Linked DNA regions of Notamacropus eugenii. The protein of the gene in region 2 interacts with the protein of the main gene of each other region in a pairwise test. Links are inferred from orthologs where the notes say so. Each region holds a gene or a part of one and is shown on either strand. Other genes may lie near its edges.

Region 1 (10,069 bases), about 15 Mb from region 2:
TTCATCACATCTTAATTGAGACCTGGTAGCCAGATGGTGTAGAAGATAGGGCACTGGCCCTGAGTCTGGAAGATCTGAATTCAAATTTGACCTCAGATTTTTACTAGCTGTGTGATTCTGGGTAAGTCACTTAACCTCTGTCTACCTCAGTTTCCTCAACTGTAAAATAGGAATGATAATAGCACTCACCTTACAGGGTTGTTATGAAGATCAAATGAGATAAGTTTTGTAACACATCTGGCACATAGTAGGCACTTAACAAATATTGATTTCCTTCCCCCTCTCTTTTCCCCAGACTTTGATGAGAATATTCTGTTCCAACTTGTCCTGACTGAACCCAATTTCTCTGATGCTTGGGGTCTTCAGGATGATTCACTGTCAGAAGTCCCTCTGAAGGGCCTGTGGTTTCACTCCATCACTTTCACAAACGGTCTGTTCCCCCTGATAAAATGACTAGAGCTGATGAGAGGAATGGCTTTACTTTATCTTCCTAGTTGGAGTCAGCTGGAAGACGTGTCCTGTGCTCCCTTTGGCTCTCTCTATGGATTCCCTCTGGAGTAATCAAAGAACAGAGAGAACACCAAGCATGTGGAGTATCATTCTGAAAGGGCAGAAGCCCTCATGCCTAGCACCTGTATTTCCACTCAAATGTTTCTTTCCACATGAACTGTCTTCTCTGTCTCCTTTTCTCATAAAAAAAAAGACCCTTCAAGATCTTTGCCTCTTTGTAGAAATTTGTAGATGATGTTGCCCCTAGCAACAGCTGCCTTTTACAGACTGCTTCTGAAGCAAACCCTCTGAAGCAAACAATTAAAAACCGTTTTTTTTGAACTTTAAGTGGGATTCTTAAAAGCAGATGTTGACTGAAGTGAGACATAGTTTTCAAGAGTTTTTATGCCAGACCTCATTAAAACATAGGTCTACTACAGATGTGGTTATAACATTCCCCAAAACATTCCCACAAACAATAATAACAGATATATATTTATATGTGTGTGTGTATGTATATGCATAATATAATACTTTAGGGTTTTCAAAGCACTTTCCAAATAATATCTCATTTGATCCTCACAACAACCCTGGGTGGAGGGGAGAAGATTCCAGTATTATCATCATTTAATAGATGAGAAAACTGAGGCAAACAGAGGTGAAGTGAATTGTCCAGGATTACATAAATATTTGAGATCAGGTCTTCCTGACTCCGTATCCAGCACTCGATTCACTGCCCAACCTTACCAATCGGAAGTGGTAATAATACCTATTACCATAGCATTGATATTAGCCCTATAGAAATATTTTCAATAGTTATTTGTTTATTTTATTGGTCCTATAATTTCCTTGGCATAGGAAACTCCCAGTAAGAAAGCTCCCTCTAATAATCCAGATAAGCAACTTCCTCTAATTTACAATGTTAGAGAACTGAATTAGGTTACTACTGAGAGGGTAGGTGAGCTGCCTCGGGGTCATTCAGACAGCATATATCTGTGGAGAGACTTGGAGTCCGGTCTTCCCGTGTCTGAAGCAGCAGTATCTATCACAATATGCTCTGTCGAGGTTTGACCGTGTCTGAGTTTACTGCATAATGACAAGAGAGGCAGCAGGCTGTAGTGGGAAGGATACTAAATCTGAATTTAGCAGGCCCCAATGTTGAGCCCCAGCTCTGATGCTTACTGCCTATATGATCTTGGAAAGTCATCTAACTTCTCTGAGTCTCAGTTTCTTCTTTTGTAAAATAGAAATAATAACTCTTGAACCACCTATCCTCCCGGAGGGTTACTATGAAGAAAGGACTTTGCAAAACTATAGACATGTGAACTCTGCTTAATTACTCATATTTCATTCAGTCTAGAGTCAAACTTCTTGATATAAAACTAGGAAAAACTTTTAGTGAACACAGAGCAAAACCCACATCCCTCCTGGTACCCTCATGTCATTCCCAACATTGTGTGATATCAAAGACTTACTTCTCCATCCTATAAAAGACCATCCCTCGTTGGAAATAAGCCACTGCTAAATGTTTGTCTCGGTTTATGCTCCCAGTAAAAGCCTGTAAGAAAGAGAAAGTGTTTTTGTGTATAGGTTTGTAAGAGTAAAAAGCTGGTGATAAGAGTTAAGGCAGTCACCTTAGGCTGAGAGCTGAGGATGGCTGGTGTCTGGAAGAGAGCTATCTGGAGGCTGGGCAAAGGGAGCCAGATTTTATGGCTACCTCTGGGGATGACAAAGGCACAAAGTCAGAAGGGAATATCAAGAAAGACAAGGAGTTAGAAGGACAATAGGTGGAGGAAGAAGAGGAGGAAGAGGAGAAATAAAGTTCAAGATTTTTTAAAACTAGGAGTAGAAGGAAAATAGGGATATATACACATACAAACATATATGTATGCATGTGTATCCACATATATGTACACACATGCATATATACACATGTGTATATGTATATATGCATGTGTATACACACATATATGTATACACACACACACAAACGTTCCATTCCAACCTTCTCCATTGTTGCTAAGCTTTTGACAAAAAGCACCTCATAGGGGTAAACTCTAAAACTATCACCAGTAAGTATAGATGTCCTTGTATTCTCTCCCTAACTTTCTACTTTTTCCTTGTCTACACACTTTTTTTCCAGGAGGGCTCACTATCTCTTGTGCATCCTATCTGTCCTTTGGACCAACTGCCGTTTACTAAGAAATCCACTCTTTATCCTTGAAGCATATCTGTTTATATTCTTATCTCCAACCAGCACATATAGATATCAGAACTAGAATCTATTTGTGGATTGCCTCTGGGGTCACTTGTTTGACTACCTGACCTACTTATCTGTGCATAAATTTAATGCTTGACATCACTGAGATAGCTCCTCCCTGAAACCGTTGCTGATCCTAACTCTCTATCCCCTCACCCCAAGCTGGTAATCAATTTTCCTCTCCCTCCGTTGTGGAGCTCATATGAATTCTATGAGTTGCTATGAGACTCAAGAAGATCACCGGCCTCATGTTCCTGAAGGTGGTACTGGGTGAGGGAGTCGGGTTCCACCTTATCCTGAAGCCAACAAAGACTTCAAAGTTTCAGAACACAGGTCTCCATTAGACATAGGGATGCTTGTCTCCAGGTTGCAGTATGGAGAAAATATGTGCGCACCCCTGTCCCCCAAAAGTATATTTTCCTGGAAGATGGCACACTGGGGCAAATGCCTAAGGGGCCCTATCCTAGTTAAGGTTTTGGGCCAACAACTGAGAGAAGTCAAATATATTCATCCATACCAATATGTCCATTTACTATCTGTAAATACCAGATCTTTCATGACTAAACTCTTTCATCCACTCCATGATAACATAGACCTGCCTGTATTCAGTTTACTCTAGTAGAGGAATATGACACATACATAGATAACTACAAGGAAAGACTTTGTGGAGGAGGTAGTATAATTTACATATAACATTAAAATCTTTCACAATTTGATTCACATCCATCTTCTCAGGCAACTTATTATCTAGTTGGGAAGATGGTACTGATTGGCATGAAAGATTAAACTGTGTGGGTCTCTCATCCTGGTAGAGTGTTTGGTATATGATAGCCATTTAATTGTCAAATGAATTAGAGATTAACATGAGATAGTTTAAAAACATATGCTAAGTTGTCTGCTCCAAGTGGCACAAGAAGAGTTCAGAGAAGGGGGAATAGTCAAAGAAGGCTTCCTAGAGAGGACAGATTTCAATGGATGGATCCAATTTGGAGGTGGGCAAGAGAAGAGACCATCCCACATCAGGAGACATGATTGTGCATGAAGATACCACGAAAGCACAAAGCAGAAGTAAGAGTCTTTCACTTACCTTTTCTGCCTCCTGCAGGTTTTCCAGAATCATATAGATACAGCCTATGTTGAAGGAAATCCGGGAATGGGGGTCCTGAACTCCAGTGAAGGCCTTTAAGGCTCCATGCCAGTCCTTCTTGTCTGCTGCCAGCACCCCTTCATTCCAAAGGCGTATCACCTCAGCTAAGGACATGGCCAGATGAGAATTGGGAGGCAAAGACCCAGACTGTGCCCAAAGAGCAACTTGGATTAGGCAGAACAGGGGCAGAAGAGAAAGCACTCAATGGAGAGGAAGTCTTTCCCACCAGGGCCTGTTCCCTACGGTCTCTCTTCGGCTCCCTTATTCTTGACTGGGTAGGACCAAGTGTCTTATTTTTTCCTTTCAAGTGGGTCTCAGAAGAAGATCTAGTCTTCTCCAAGCTGACTTCTCTGTGTTGTAAGCATGTCAGGAAGTGTCCTCATCTTTTAGTAACCCTGCTGAGAGGCAAGGGGAAGAAGGGAGGTGGGGGTGGAGAGGAGGGGAGGGGTGGGGAAAGAGAGGAAGTACAAGTGTTGACTGCAATGGATCAGTTCCTCTAAACTATTCTGCTCTGCCATGATCAGTCCCTCCAACTAAGTCTTACCTTTTTACTAGTGTTTCTGGGCCATGCACTGTCACTTTCTAGCTGTGTGACCTTGGATCAGTTACTTCCTCAGTTTCCCCATCTGCAAAAGGAGGGGATTGGATGTGATACTTCAGTCAAAAGTTCCCCTGAGCTCTTTTAAAAGTCATATTCATGAAATATTTATAGCAGCTTTTTTTAGTGATGGCAAAGAATTGGTAACTTGAGGGCATGCCCATCCATTGAGAAATGGTTAAATAAGTTATGGTGCGGGAATATGGTGGAATGTTATTATATTATAAGAACTGAAGAAAAGGGTAGTTTCAGAGAAACCAGAGAAGAATCATAGGAACTGATATGCAACGAAGTAGGCAAACCCAGAACAATCTATATGATGACAACAAACTACTTTGAAAGACTTAGTAACCAACTACAATTCCAGAGATTCAGGACGAAACCTGCTGCCAGCCTCATGATGGAGAGGTGATAGACCAAGAGCACAGAGACCTTTTTTTGGTCATGCTCAATACAAAAATGTGTTTTTCTTGATTATACATGCTTATAAAGGGGGTTTTAGTTTTATTACTTTCTCAGTGGGATGGGGAGGAGTGTACAGGTGGAAGGCATAGCATGCAGATCTAAAAATAAAATGAAATTTAATTTAAAAAAGCAATCCATGATTCTAAGGAACTTCCTCCATCTTTAGAGCATCACCATCTCAGCTTGGGATGCCCATTTTCAGTCATTCTTTGTTCCAACGAATAATAGTTTCTTTAGCTCTCTCCATAAAATGATATTAGAGCCTTTTCAGGCTCTGCTCTCTTTTATGAAAACTCAGAATGTTTATGGAAATCCTGGAAGCTAAACATGACTGTTGTTAGTCCAGCAAGGAAAGCTGAACCACAGAGGGGAGAAGGAACTAGACAAAGACAAGAGCTTTGGAGATTACCTTGGACTCCTGCTCATATTCAAACTGCCTTCAATGAGCACATTTAAACAGGGAGATGTTGAATGTTTGCTACTAGTGTTTCAAAAACTGTCTTCCCTAATATTGCATTAGAACCATAGGATCCTTGGAAATAAAGGGAGAGGAGATGAGAAAGACAATTTCAAGAGATAGCACAGCAGTATGGGCAGGTGTTTTGGGGTTTCTTTTTCTTTGTGTCTGTTAATGAGTTTCCATCATTCTGTGGATGTTTCCCACTCCTAGTTTCATAGAATCCTAGGTTTAGAACTGGAAGGGGCTTTGCATGCCACTTAGTCCAATTTCCTTTAGATGAGGAAGTTGATGAAGTCTGGAGATATGAAGTGACCAACCCAATATCACCCAGGTAGTTAAGTGGCAGAGCTGGAATTTGAACCCAAGACTTTTTATTCCAAAGTCAGCCTTCTTTCTACTCTATAAGTACATCTCAGCTATCTTCATACCTGGCTGTCTGCATTCTAGCCATTAACCTGATTCCCCTTTCACTGGAGCCTTGGACTGTGCCCCCCAGGATAGTAGGATCTAACAGATAGATGCAGGCATCTGTGCCACTTCATGTACCCCCTTCTTCTGATGTCCAGATTCCCTTTATATGTTGTCTCCCCTCATTAAAACATAGTTTCATTGAAGGTAGGGTCTGTCTTATTTGCTTAGCAGAGTACCTGCACATATTAAGTGATTAACAAATGTTTCATCCATACATACATTCATCCATCCATCCATCTATCTATCCATATTTCTTTTTTCTCTTTCTTTTTCTTATCTATCCACTCCATCCACCTATCTATCTATCATCTATCTATCTATCTATCTATCTATCTATCTATCTATCTATCTATCTATCTATCTATCTGTCTGTCTGTCTGTCTGTCTGTCTCTCTGTCTCTCTGTCTCTCTGTCTGTCTGTCTGTCTGTTTATCTATCTATCTAATTGCTGTCCTTTGTGATTGACTATGCTACCAAGCTACCCAAGGACTGGGTACAAGTTGTAGTATTGGGGAGTGATTGGCTCATGTCATATCACACAGTTGGCAAAGGTCATCTGTAATTTGTTATAGGGTCATAGGATCATGCTTCACTTCTGAGATTACTTCCCTCATTCTATTTCTAACATTTCCTTTTCTGGGGAATACTTGCAAAATCTTGATCATCAGGTGGTCAGGGTTAAGGGCATGACAACTACAAATTAAAATTTCCTATCCCCCTACTAAGAAAAATTGGAGCCACTGGAGAAGAATTGGAAAGTTTATAGAGCCATTTACATTGATGGCCAATGAAGTTAACTCTGTCCTTGAAAATCTGAATCTTTTTCCTATTGTCCTTAAAAGATCAATATAGCAAAACAGTACTGAAATGAAATAACTGAGGGAATTTGTTGTTGTTGGCTTGTTTCAGTCATATCTGGCTCTTCATGACCCCATTTGGGGTTTTCAAAGATACTGGAGTTTTGCCATTTCCTTTTCCAGCTCATTTGACAGACGAGGAAACTGATTTAATAAATAAATAAGAATAACTTATAATGAGCATATTAACTATAAGCAAATAAGCATTGCTAAATTGGTTTTAAAAGTTGAAAACAGCTTATCTTCTACAGTTTTGAGCACACTATTCCTTTGCTTAGGAAATAAATTTATCATAATTAAACAGAAAGGTTAGTGTTTTGCTCAATTCCTGAACAAATAACTCATTAATTTTGAATTAAGGGATTCCAGGTCTATTAATGGGGTTTTACTATCTACAATATACTAAGGTCCCTGTAGGATGAATATGGTCAGTTATAAAGCAAGTACACCCCATTTCTTTCTGTGTTTGTGGAAAAGCTGGGAAACTTATGGAACCAAAATACATAAATCCTAGGAACTCTCAACCACCATGTTGTGTGGTAGAAAGAGTGCTAGATTTGATGACAGGAGATTTGGATTACAACTCTAGCACTTACCTCTCTGGGTCTAGTTTCCTTATTTATAAAATGAAGGGATTAGACTCAACCAGGGGCTCTTAGCCTTTTATTGTGTCACAGACCCCTTGGGCAGTCTGGTGAAACTTATGGACCCCTTCTAAGACTCATCTTTCTGAGTTCAAATCTGACTTTGGACATTTACTAGCTGTGTGACCCTGGACAAGTCACTTAATCCTGTTTGCCTTATCTGTAAAATATGCTAGAGATGGAAATGGCAAATCACTCCAGTATCTTTGCCAAGAAAACCCCAAATGGGGTCATGAAGAGCCAGACAAGACTGAAACAACATATCTCTATTTTCTTTTCTCTCTCCCTCCCTTCTCTCTTCCCCTTTCCCTCCCCTCCCCTTCCCTCTCCCCTCTCCCATCTTCCCCTCTCCTCCTTTCTCCTCTCCTCTGCCTGAACCAGAAGAATGAAGTCTTCTTTTTAGTCAGCTGCCCTCCCATCTGGAATCTCTCTTCTCTCTACTCTTTCCTAGCCCCCACCCATAAATGGTGCAGAGACACTCAATAAGGAATGATGTTGGGAAATAAACTGACTTTCAAAGCCTAGTAAAGTGGTTCCCAATCTTTTCAAGTGTGAGGATCCCTTTGATAAAATATATACTCAGTATCAGTTGATTAAGAAAAGACATAATAGCTTTTAAATAAATTTATATTTTATCACAACAGCATGTACACATATTCAAATAGCATAATACAAAATATAGATGATATAAAAAAGATTAATTATAATTTTTTAAAAGAGCACATATACACATATACATGTGAGACATATTCAGTCAACAGAAGGTTTATTTGTTAAAGATCAAAATGCCCATGGCTGATAGCCTTTTTGTAGATCCTTTCTAATAACTCTGCCATTCCTCTAGGGTCCATAAATCTAAAGGAGCTATGCCTGCCTTGGCAGCAGTTCATATGAAAAAAGATCTATGAAGTGGTAAGTTTTAGTTGACCACAAGCTTACTGTAAGCCGATGGTATGATGTAGTTGCTAAGAGACCTAATATGCTAAAACAGCATTAATAAAAACTATATTGAACAAGTCAGGAGAAATAATAGTCTCACTATACTCTATTGTGGCCAGACCACATATGGAGGATTATGTTCATTTGAGTATATTCTAGTGATAGGAACAAGATTTGTGATCTTACTGGTATAAGGAGAAAGATGGCAGAGTAGAAAGACATAGATACGGAGGCTTTCCCCACACAGCCCGTAAAATACCTGTAGAGAGGGACTCTCAACAAATTCTGGAGCAGCAGAAGTGGAGAACGAGAGAGTGGAGGAGATTTCTAGCCCAGGGTGACCTGAAAGGCCCATGGGAAACATCTGTTATACAGGACATGGAGCACAGCCCAGCCCAGCCTTGGCCGTGCAGTACTGCTCTGGGAGGAGGACACCTCAGGGGCAGAATCTCCAGTCACAGTAGCAGCGAATCCCCAGTCACAGCAGTAGCAGGTTCACAGATCCCTCAACCCACAGGCGCCAAAGGTCAGTGACGGGGTTTTTTCAGTTGGCCAGGAAGGGAGAAGGGCCTTTCCATATCTCTGGCCTTAGGCAGCTGCCACAGAGGTCACATTGGCAGGCGCAGCAGCCACATCCATTGTTGGAGCATAAAAACCCTGGGGGCACTGAGGAGCTGACTCTTGCCTCAGCCCTGTGTGGAGGCCCTGGGGGAGCTGGTCTTTGTCTCACACTGAATGGCAGCCCTGCCCATCTAGCTTATCTGAAAATCAGCCCCCAGTGCTGACTTGGAAGAACTGGAGGCCAGGTGGCTGTGGAGAGGTAACTGCTAAGATTCTGGGCACAAAAATCACTCCCTACACCCAGACCAGTACACGCTTGATTGTGCCACCTTGGAGGAACTGAGATTTTACAGATTCCCAGAGAATACCCTACTCTTGACAAAGGACCCAAAAGTCAAGTAACTGGTTGGGAAAATGCCCCCAAAATGGGAAAAAAATAAGACCATAGAAGGTTACTTTCTTGATGAACAGATATCCTCTCCCATCCTTTCGATGAGGAAGAACAATGCTTACCATCAGGGAAAGACATAAAAGTCAAGGCTTCTGTATCCCAAACATCCAAAATAAATATTCAATGGTCTCAGGCCATGGAAGAGCTCAAAAAGGATTTTGAAAATCAAGTAAGAGAGGTGGAGGCAAAACTGGGAAGAGAAATGAGAGAGATGCAAGAAAAAGCATGAAAAGTGGGTCAACACGTTGCTAAAGGAGACCCCAAAAAAGGTTGAAGAAAATAACACCTTCAAAAATAGGCTAACTCAATTGGCAAAAGAGGTTCAAAAAGCCAATGAGGAGAAGAATGCTTTAAAAAGCAGAATTAGCCAAATGGAAAAGGAGGTTCAAAAGCTCACTGGAGAAAATAGTTCTTTCAAAATTAGAATGGAACAGATGGAGGCTAATGACTTTATGAGAAACCAAGAAATCACAAAAAAACCCCCCAAAAGAATGAAAAAATCGAAGATAATGTGAAATCTCTCATTGGAAAAACAACTGACCTGGAAAATAGATCCAGGAGAGACAATTTAAAAATTATGGGACTACCTGAAAGCCATGATCAAAAAAAGAGCCTAGACATCATATTTCATGAAATTATCAAGGAAAACTGCCCTGATATTCTAGAACCAGGGCACAAAATAAATATTGAAAGAATTCACCGATCACTTCCTGAAAGAGATCCAAAA
Region 2 (10,579 bases):
ACCTATGCTTTAGGAAAATCAGTTGGTGATTTAATGGAGGATGGACTGGAATGGAAACAGACTGAGGCAGGTAGACTCACCAGCTTTCTTTTTTTTTCAGTAATATCCAACTCTTCATGACCCCATTTGGGGTATTCTTGGCAAAGATTCTGGAGTTGTTTGCCATTTTCTTCTCTAGCGCATTTTACAGATAAGGAAACTGAGGCAAACAAAATTAAATGACTTGTCCAGGGTCAAACAGCTAGTGTCTAAGGTCAGATTTGAACACACAAAGATGAGTCTTCCTGACTCAAGGCCTGATACCCTATACACCCTATATACCCTATACATATAGTGGGCTATTGAAATAATACAAAATATAAGGTGATAAGTACATGCGCTAGATCAGTGGCAGTGTTGGAGCAGAGAAGAGGGCATACTTGAGAGATATTGTGAAAGTTAAGTTGACCGGCCTTGGCAACAGATTGGGATATGGGGGTGGGGCAGTTTAGGTAGTGGTGGGGTTTATGTGAGACATTGAGGAGTAAAAGATGACTCTTGGGCTGTATGTTTGAGTGTCTAGGAAAACAGTGATGTCCTTGACAAAAAATAGAGAAGTTTGGAGGAGTGCAAGGTTTGGGGGAAACATATGGAGCATTTATAATATTTATAAACATTTAGAAAAACCAGAATGTGCTTTAAAAAGAGCAAACCAGAAATGTAAGAAGATTAACCAATATAATCACATGAGAACTGGTTGAAGGAGCTGGGGATGTTTAGCCTGGAAGAGAAAATTTAGGGGAGATGTGATAGTTGTATCCAATTATTTGAAGGGCTAGCAAATGAAAAAGTAGTTAAGCTTGTTTTGTTTAGCCCCAGAAGGCAAAACTAGGAGTAATAAATAAATGATGAGAAGAGGTATATCTAGATTTGAAGTCAGGAAAAATTTCCAAATAATTAGAGCTATTCAAAGGGGCTGCTGGGTGGCATAGCGAATACAGTATCAGATCTGGAGTCAGGAAGACTTGTTTTCCTGAGTTCAAATCTGATCTTACGCCTATTAGCTGTGTGACCTTGGACAAGTCACTTAATGTAGTTTGCCTCAGTTCTACATCTGTAAAATGAGCTGGAGAAGGAAATGACAGACCACTCCAGTATCTGCCAAGAAAACCCTAAATGGGGTCACAGAGTCAGATGTGATGAAAATGGCTGAACAACAATGACAAAGTAAAGTGGGTTGGAGAGGGAATCAGCTCCCTTTAATTGAAGGTGCGGGGCTTTTGTGAAAGAAATTCTTGGCCAGATATAGGCTGGATTCCATGGCTCTGAAGTCGCTTATCAGCTCTGAGGTTTTCTATAAGCTTCATGGTAAGCACCATGTGTATATATCTATTATAGGCATATCTGTCATGAAGTGATTTTTTTTGGGGGGGGGGGGGGCTTTGGTAATACAAAGAAAACCACCTCTGTCAAATGCATTAATGTGTCTCTCCAAAGACAGTCTTTTCATTTAGCTGCAACTTCCTATCTACTTTACTATCTTTTATAGTAAGATTGTCAATATTGATGAGTCAGTTCCTCTAGGAGTATGTCAGCCCATTGGTAAATGAACATGGTGAGTCATCCCAGATTCACCTTGTCTGATTTTAACAAAGTTAATAAGCTAATAGAGTAAGGGAAATCTGTAGACATAGATTACCTAGATTTCAGCTAGCATTTTACAGAGCCTCTCATTCTATCTTTGTAGACAAGATAGAGATATGAGCTAGAGTTCATCATAGTCAGTTAGATACAGAATTGGTTGAATTAGTTGGGATGAAAGAGGAACCATCGATGTTTCAATGTCACCTTGGAGGGAGACATCTGATAAAATGACATGTAAATCTGTGCAAGGTCTTATGTTGGACAATGTTTTCATCATTGACTGGAATGAAGACACAGACACATATCAAGTTTTTTAATGACACAAAACTGAGATGGATAGAAGATCCAAAATTAGCTCAACAGTTTAGAATGCTAAGCCAAATATAATACAATAAAATTTAATGAGATATTTCTATACTTGAGATGCAAAGAATCAGTTTTAAATTTTAAAATTAGAATTAACTAAGACAGGAGAAATGACTAGAAATTAGTTCATTTTACAAGGAACTGGGGGGTTTTAGTAGAATGCAAGCTCAGTACCAGTTAGTGGTATGATATGTTAGTCAAAAAAAGCCTAAGGAATTTTAGTTTACATTAAGAGTGGCATAGCATACAGGACTAGCAAGGTGACAGTCTCACTGTGCTTTACCCTAGTTAGAATTCACCTAGAGTACTGTGTTCAGTTCTAGGTGCCATATTTTAGGAAGTGCATTGACAAACTAAAGTTTATCCAGAGAAGAATCATCAGGAAGTTCAATTCTTTTAAGGACAAGTTGAATGAAATGAGGGTACTTAATATGGAGAAGAGAAGACAGAATGCACCGATTATTTTCAGATATTTGAAGAACTGTCATTAGATTTGTTTTTATTTGTCCTCTAGGGTAAAACTAGGAATAATGCGTAGGAGTTGCAAAAAAAAAAAAAAGAAAGGCAGGCAGGCAGGCAGGCAGGAGGGAAGGAAGGAAGGAAGGAAGGAAGGAAGGAAGGAAGGAAGGAAGGAAGGAAGGAAGGAAGGAAGGAAGGAAGGAAGGAAGGATAGGAAAGGAAAGGAAAGGAAAGGAAAGGAAAGGAAAGGAAGGAAGGAAGAGAGGAAAATGCCCAGAAGAGACTATAAACCAGGTGGCACTCATGATACCAACAAAGTGATGCCCAAAAGAAAGAAAAGAGAGCAATATGATGGCATCACCAGAGAACAGCAGTAGCCTTGTATTATCAGGCGTTAAACTGAACACATACAAATCCTAGCCACATACTTTCCCTTACAAGTATGCTCTCCCATGTCTGAGATCTATAAATGTCCATTTTTCCTGTTGATGGTGAGTATATTTGAGGGAGAATGTGCTCCAATTTTAGAGGAGGATAATTCCATACCTTCTTTTCTTATTATGTTATTTTATTAAATACTTTTGCTTTGATCAAAATATGTCCCATTAGTTATAGCTCATGGAGTGGTTGCTATTCCATGAAAGTACCTAGAGTCAGGATATACTGGACAATACTTGTGAGCAAATGTACCCTCTAAGTGATAAATTAGTATCCAATATTTCTCTTGCCTCCCCCGTCTTAGCTATCATGATTCTTTGGGATAAGGTATATTCCTCCATAGCTTTATTCCAGTTATAGATCTCATTCCACCAATTCTTGGTGATACTTATGAGGTCAAAAATGACACCTTGAGCATGAACATCAATGGGGAATGGCTGAACAAGTTGTTGTATATAATTGTAATGGAATATTATTGTGTTATAAGAATGATGATTAGGATCATTTCAGAAAAACCTGGAAAGGACTTATATGAATTGATGCAAAGTGAAGTGAGCAGAACCAGGAGAACCTTGTACCCAGTAACAGCAATATTATACAATAAACATCTATGAATGACTTAGCTATTTTCAGCAATGCAATGATTCAACACAATCTCAAAGGACTCGTGATGCTGCTTCCAAAAAAAGAACTGATGACACCTAATAAAAACTAAAGCATACTATTTTTCTCTTTCTTTCTTCCTCTTTAGTTAGAGTTTCCTTCCACAAGGCTGTTGTGATGAAAGTTGTAACTATTTCAAGTACCCCAGCAAGATGATCTCTATCTGCAGAAATGAAGAGAAGTAGTGGAAGAGAGCGGAATCCAAACTAGATTTAGAGTCAGGACACTTGGATTTTAATCCCAACCACACATACTACCCACATGACCCTGGGATATTAACCTCCTCTCTCTGGAGCCCAATATTCTCATTGTAAAAAGAAAAGCTTGGACTAAAATGATCTCCAATGTTCCTTCTGGTCTTGTAACCCATAATAGGACAAGTACATGCTCCTCAGTGACCAAATAACATAATACCTGCTTCCAGTGGACATTTCTGTCAACAGCCAAGATCAGTGTCAACTGTCACTCTCTTCCAGCTTTAAAATTACATGATTCTGTAACTTGCTGCTACAAAACCATTTTCCATATTCAGTTGGTCCTGTTCTGAAATGAAGAATTTTGGCAATCAACGTGCTCCCTCTAGCTCCAAATTCACTGAATATTTCAAACCCCGAAATGAAATTTTCTGACAGCATGATAGAGATGAGCCGATAAGTTGAACAAAAATTGTTCACCATATAAGAACATGCTAGAAGGTAAGCACAGCTGAAAGTATCACTGCATTATCCAGGAGACAACAAACACACAAATACATACACATATAGATACAACACACATATTCCTATGTATGTGTGTATATAAACATATATGTGTGTGTATGCATATATACATATATGTGTATATACATACACATATAAAACTAACCATGTGTTGGACAATGAATATTGCTGGAAAAAAATATAGAAACAATGATATGATTAGTAATGAAGCTAACATAATGTTGGGCTTCATTATTAAAAGTAAAAATGAAGGAAGTGAAAATATTACGTTTAGTCTGGGAGCCATTTTTAAAGGAGAGATCATTGGTGTATGAGAATGAGTAGGTGAACTTTATAGCTTGATATAAGGTAACATTTCCTAAGAACTAGATCTGTCCAGAAGTTGAATAAGCTACCTTGGGAAGTGGTGGGTCTCCTTTGGTGGAAATTTTCAGACAAAAGCTGCATGACTACTTTGGGTTATTTTAGAGGAGATTCTTACCCAGGAACTGCTTAGAATAGACGTCCATGAAGGTTCATTTTAACTCTAAATTTTTTTGTTCTATGATTCTAATCTCCTCACTTTCATATTCTTTGCCTTATCCACCTTATATAACATTGCCAAACTGATCTTCCTAACGAATAGACCTGATCACATTTCTCTTTCACAAAACCTTCTATAGTTTCCCATAGATTCCCATCTATAAATTTCAAACTGCTTATTCTAGAATTCATGACCCTCCATAACCCTGCTCCAACCTACATTCTTGTTCTTACCTTGCTATTCATCTCATTCAAATGTCCTCTACTCCAACTAACTGGGGATGGTTATAGTCCCTTGAATATAGCCTGATGTATCTAGCACTTGTGACTATTGTTCAAAGTATTTCTTGTGATGAGAATGTCCTCTCTCCCTTAAATCTGTCAGTTGAAATTCCGTTTTTCCTTTAAGGTCCAGCTCAGATATCACTTTATCTAGGTATTCTTCCTTGGGCTCCCTCAGTTAGATGTAACCCATCTCTCCTGTGAACTTTCATAGTCTCTGTTTTCTACTCCTTTTACTGATTTTTTGTATATACTTCTTCTATACAGCCTACATTTAGAATATAAATTCCTCAAGGGCAGAGACTTGCGTATCATTATGTGTCTTTGTGTCCACCGTGACTCCTTGGGAAGTGACTTTCACATAGTAGAAATACAATCAATAAATATCTGTCCAACTGAAATGAAACATATATTTGGATAACAACTACATCATTATTAAACACATTTGAGTGAGATACATCACACTGCTTTATCTCACTGGATTCTCAAAACATAATTTGGGCCCCAAAAAGAATGAGAAAGGAGAAACGTAAAGAGATCGAATGCCATTGTCATAGTGGGACTTTGTCTCCCTCTTCATCCAGAGCTTACTGGGAGTGTGATGATGTCATAGTTGTTGCCCTCTCTGTCACGCCAGCTGTAAACAAGGCGGGGTGGGGGGAGGTCATCAGGGAGCAGATTTCTTTGAAATGCCTTTTCAACTGAAGACTCCTTTGCAGTAAGGTGTGCAATGTGAGCTCAGGTTAACTTGAAAGGTGGGAAGATGACTGCATTAATAGGCAGTGGAAGCGGGCTCTTTGGGCCTCAGTGGCCCTTTGATGACATCCCAAAGGCCGTAACCAGGTAAGGAAGGCTCGTGAGAAAGCAGAGGCTATTGATGTTGAAAGGTTCTGAGTGTGTTTGAAGGACTGGTTCTTCTGTTATCTTAAGCCTCAGATGCTTCCCAGGCACCTGTAGTTTTCAGACAGCAGAATGTAAACTCATTGAGGACTTTTTGTTTTCTTGTCTAAGCACTCACGTACTGAAGGCCCTCAATGAAGGCGTGTTGAATTGAAGTAAATTGAATTTCTCTTTAAGCTCAAGTTATCTGTCCCATGAGGAAATAATTGACGAGTCAATTAAAATACTTTTTTATTATGTCTTTTCATTGTTACTTAACACACAGACACACACACACAGAGTCTATATCTATACCAAAAAAATTTAATTTCACCTCACTAGACGTGTCAGCAAATTGTTCTTTCTTGTCCTATACGTCTTCTGTCTTCCGTGATACTGTCAAGTCTTCACTTTCCAATCGCCTAGTTGCTCTTGATTTTCTTGTAGTTTATAACACTTCTAGGGCAGCTAGGTGGTGCCATAGCGCATCAAGAGCCAGGCTTGAGTCAAGAAGACTCTTCTTCCTGAGATCAAATTGGGCTTCAGATACTTAGTAGCTGTGGGACTCTGGACAAGTCATTTAACCCTGTTGGCCTCAAGGTCTTCATCTGTAAAATGAGCTGGAGAAGAAAATGGCAAACCACTCCAGTATGTTTTCCAAGAAAACCCCCAATGGGTCAGACATAATTGAGAAAACTGACAACAGCAACAATGTAACATCTCTAAATGGATCTTGTGTCAATTTCTGATCCCTGGGACAACATCTGGTCATGGCTCTCAAGTCTCTTTCACCAGTTAAATAACCCCATCCTTTTTATATGTTCTGATATTCAATCCTTCCCCATTTCTTTTCCTACCTACCCTCCACATTTTCCCAACCACATTAACCTTCTTGCTGCCCTTTATACTTTGGTCTTCCTTTTCCATCTCTTCATTTTGAACAAGACTGCCCAAAGGGCACAGAATAGGGTATTTATTTCCATCCTCTTTAAGGAAGGAGTTCACTCCTATCCTTTAAATCACTGCAAAAGTTTTCCAAAAGTAACAGCAAGCAGTCTTCAGTCATCAATACAATTCTTAACTCTCCTCTGGGATGTTCTTGAAATTAGTGTATTTATATACACTTAGGCTGATCGCACGTTTGTCACGTAAGCTTCCTGAAGAGTAGGGACTGTATCTAATTTTTGTTATATATCCCAAAGCACCTAAGGCTACCAGTACCCTGCATCCTGTGAATATTTACTGACTGACTTAACTGAGTTGTTGAGATCAAAAGAATGGGGATGTTAAAGGAGCTCAGAACTAAGACTACAGAATAATTATAGCTTAATTTCATTGTAAAGTACTAAAGGACAGGAACTATGCCTGTTTCAGCTTACTTGGGTTTTGTGCCCAGTGAGTCATATGGGTATTTACAAAAAATTATTTGACTATGAAAACATATAATTTATATAAAAAGAAAGTAAAAATTTTACCCACTCTCTCTGCCAGTTCCTTTTCAGAGATGTCATTCTTCTCTTGTGATTATCAACCTAGACAAACTTACATATAATTTCTCTCTGTCTCTCTCCCTCTCTCAAATTGATTTCCATGATGACTAGATAAAATTAAAACTTCACAAATACTTTTATTTGTAAGCGTATTTTCCCACAGCCTCTCTAACAATAGTCATTTTCCTTTCTTGTCTTTTTTGCCAATCCGAAGGGTTGGAGATAGGATCTCAAAGTTACTTTAACTTGAATTTACTTTATTAAGTGATTTCAGGAATTTTATTCATGTAATTATTGATAACTTGGATTTATTCTTTTGAAAACTGTCTATAGCTTTTAACCATTTATTTATTGGGAGATGGGTGCTGTTCTTAGGAATAAATATCTTGAATATGAGACCTGTATCAGGGAAATTTCCTGCGAAGATTTGTCCTTATTTAACTGTTTTCTTTCTGATCCTATCTGCACGGGTTTTGTTGTGCAAAACCTTTTAAATTTTCCATAATCAAAATTGTCCACTTTTTCTTTTGACATCTTTGTCCCTTGCTTGGTCATGATCTTTCTCTCTCCCATAGGCCCAACCCAACAGGAAATTTCTTCCTTGCTCCTCTCAATTTGTTTATAATGTTAAGCTTATGTCTAAGTCATATTCATTAGGAGCTTATCTTGGTTACATGGTGTAAGATGTTGGTCAATGTCTAATTTTTGCTAAACAGTTCATATTTTTCCAGTAGGTTTTTTTTTTCCTTCTTTTCAAATAGTGAATCCTTTCCCCAGCATCTAGTCCTTGGATTTATCAAACTCTATGGTACTGTGTTCATTTGCTTCCATATGTTGTATGCCCAATCTGTTCCACTAATCAGTGAACATTTATTAAGTGCCTATTTTGTATCTCCTAGTTTTTAAACCTTTACCAAATAATTTTGATGATTACAGATTTGTAGTTTAATTCCATCTTGAGGAAAGAGGAAAAGCTTTTCCTTGTAATTGCATGTAATTTTGTTTAATGCTAATCTCCCTTACTTCCCACTTTTTTTATTACTTCCTTTGAGATTCTTGCCTTTTTATTCCTCCAGATAAATTGTTGTTTTTTTCTATGTTTATAAACACACACACGCAGCTATATCACAGGTTTTTAATTCTTTCTTATAATCATCCTTACATTCTTCATGTCATGCTCCTCCCTCTGATGTTGGAGTTTTTAAATTTGTTTTGGGGGGGCGGAGCCAAGATGGCGGAGTAGAAAGACGCACATACACATAGCTCTGAACCCACAACCCATAGAATGGCTACAGGGAAGTAACTCACGGCGAATTCCGCACCCAGAGGCCACGGAACATTGGAGCGAGGGAGATTTCGGTTCCAGAGAGACCTGCAAACCTCTTGCGGGGGGTCCTTCGCACTGCGGACTGGGCGCCGGGACTGGGAGCTGAGCGCAGCCCTGCCGCGGCCGCGGCACCGAGAGGAAAAGATCCGAGCAGGCTTCACAGACAGGATCTCCAGTGGCCACGCGGGTCCCTCCACCCACAGAGGGATCTGCAAACCTCTCGCAAAAGGTCCGTCGCGCTGCAGACACAAAGCTCAGCCGAGACCTGCTGCGGCCACGGCTGCGGCACCGAGAGAAACAGATCCGAGCAGGCTTCAGGGACGGGATCTCCAGCGGCCGCACAAGTCCCTCCACCCACAGGTGACAGGGGTGGGTGAGAGAGTCTCTTTGGCGGGTCGAGAGGGGAGTGGGGTGCCCCCATAATTCAGGCCCCCCCGGGAGGTAGAAGCTGAGAGGCGGCTGCAGACAGGGGCTCCCCAAGCAGGCGGGAGCCTGAATCCATTGTGGAAGGTCTGTGCATAAACCCCCTGAGGGAACTGAGCCTGAGAGGTGGCCCTGCCCCGACCTCAGCACCAGAACATAATCTCATACTGAATAGCAGCCCTGCCCCCGCCAAAAGCCCTGAGGCTGGAAGCAGCATTTGAATCTCACACCCCAAACGCTGGCTGGGAAGATCAGGAGGCGAGGTGGGTGTGAGGAGAATATTCAGAGGTCAAGTCACTGGCTGGGAAAATGCCCAGAAAAGGGAAAAGAAATAAGACTATAGAAGGTTACTTTCTTGGCGAACAGGCATTTCCTCCCTTCCTTTCTGATGAGGAAGAACAATGCTTACCATCAGGCAAAGACACAGAAATCAAGGCTTCTGTGTCCCAGCCCACCCAATGGGCTCAGGCCATGGAAGAGCTCAAAAAGAATTTTGAAAATCAAGTTAGAGAGGTAGAGGAAAAGCTGGGAAGAGAAATGAGAGACATGAAGTCAAAGCATGAACAGCAGATCAGCTCCCTGCTAAGGGAGACCCAAAAAAATGTTGCAGAAATTAACACCTTGAAAACTAGCCTAACTCAATTGGCAAAAGAGGTTCAAAAAGCCAATGAGGAGAAGAATGCTTTCAAAAGCAGAATTAGCCAAATGGAAAAGGAGATTCAAAAGCTCACTGAAGAAAATAGTTCTTTCAAAATTAGAATGGCACAGATGGAGGCTAATGACTTTATGCAAAACCAAGAAATCACAGAACAAAGAGAGAAGAATGGAAAAATGGAAGATAATGTGAAATATCTCATTGGAAAAACAACAGACCTGGAAAATAGATCCAGGAGAGACAATTTAAAAATTATGGGACTACCTGAAAGCCATGATCAAAAGAAGAGCCTAGACATCATCTTTCATGAAATTATCAAGGAAAACTGCCCTGAGATTCTAGAACCACAGGGCAAAATAAATATTCAAGGAATCCACAGAACACCGCCTGAAAGAGATCCAAAAAGAGAAACTCCTAGGAACATTGTGGCCAAATTCCAGAGTTCCCAGGTCAAGGAGAAAATACTGCAGGCAGCTAGAAAGAAACAATTCAAGTATTATGGAAATACAATCAGGATAACACAAGATCTAGCAGCCTCTACATTAAGGGATCGAAGGGCATGGAATAGGATATTCCAGAAGTCAAAGGAACTAGGACTAAAACCAAGAATCACCTACCCAGCAAAACTGACTATAATACTTCAGGGGAAAAAATGGTCTTTCAATGAAATAGAGGATTTTCAAGTATTCTTGATGAAAAGACCAGAGCTGAAAAGAAAATTTGACTTTCAAAC

The links.
Region 1: the proteins of KIFAP3 (region 2) and NCF2 interact in binary tests that used the Homo sapiens proteins (3 or more experiments, as listed by UniProt). The two-hybrid records come from large-scale screens. The link is inferred for Notamacropus eugenii from reciprocal best matches to the Homo sapiens genes KIFAP3 and NCF2.

The regions. Positions count from the first base shown.
Region 1 is NC_092873.1:461,482,135-461,492,203, reverse strand, and holds the start of NCF2 (neutrophil cytosol factor 2), read right to left. Parts: upstream 4,277-10,069; 5' UTR 4,011-4,276; coding exon 3,837-4,010; intron 2,048-3,836; coding exon 1,965-2,047; intron 1-1,964. UniProt on the Homo sapiens protein: Subunit of the phagocyte NADPH oxidase complex that mediates the transfer of electrons from cytosolic NADPH to O2 to produce the superoxide anion (O2(-)).
Region 2 is NC_092873.1:476,271,923-476,282,501, forward strand, and holds the start of KIFAP3 (kinesin-associated protein 3), read left to right. Parts: upstream 1-5,750; 5' UTR 5,751-5,835; coding exon 5,836-5,915; intron 5,916-10,579. UniProt on the Homo sapiens protein: Involved in tethering the chromosomes to the spindle pole and in chromosome movement. Binds to the tail domain of the KIF3A/KIF3B heterodimer to form a heterotrimeric KIF3 complex and may regulate the membrane binding of this complex.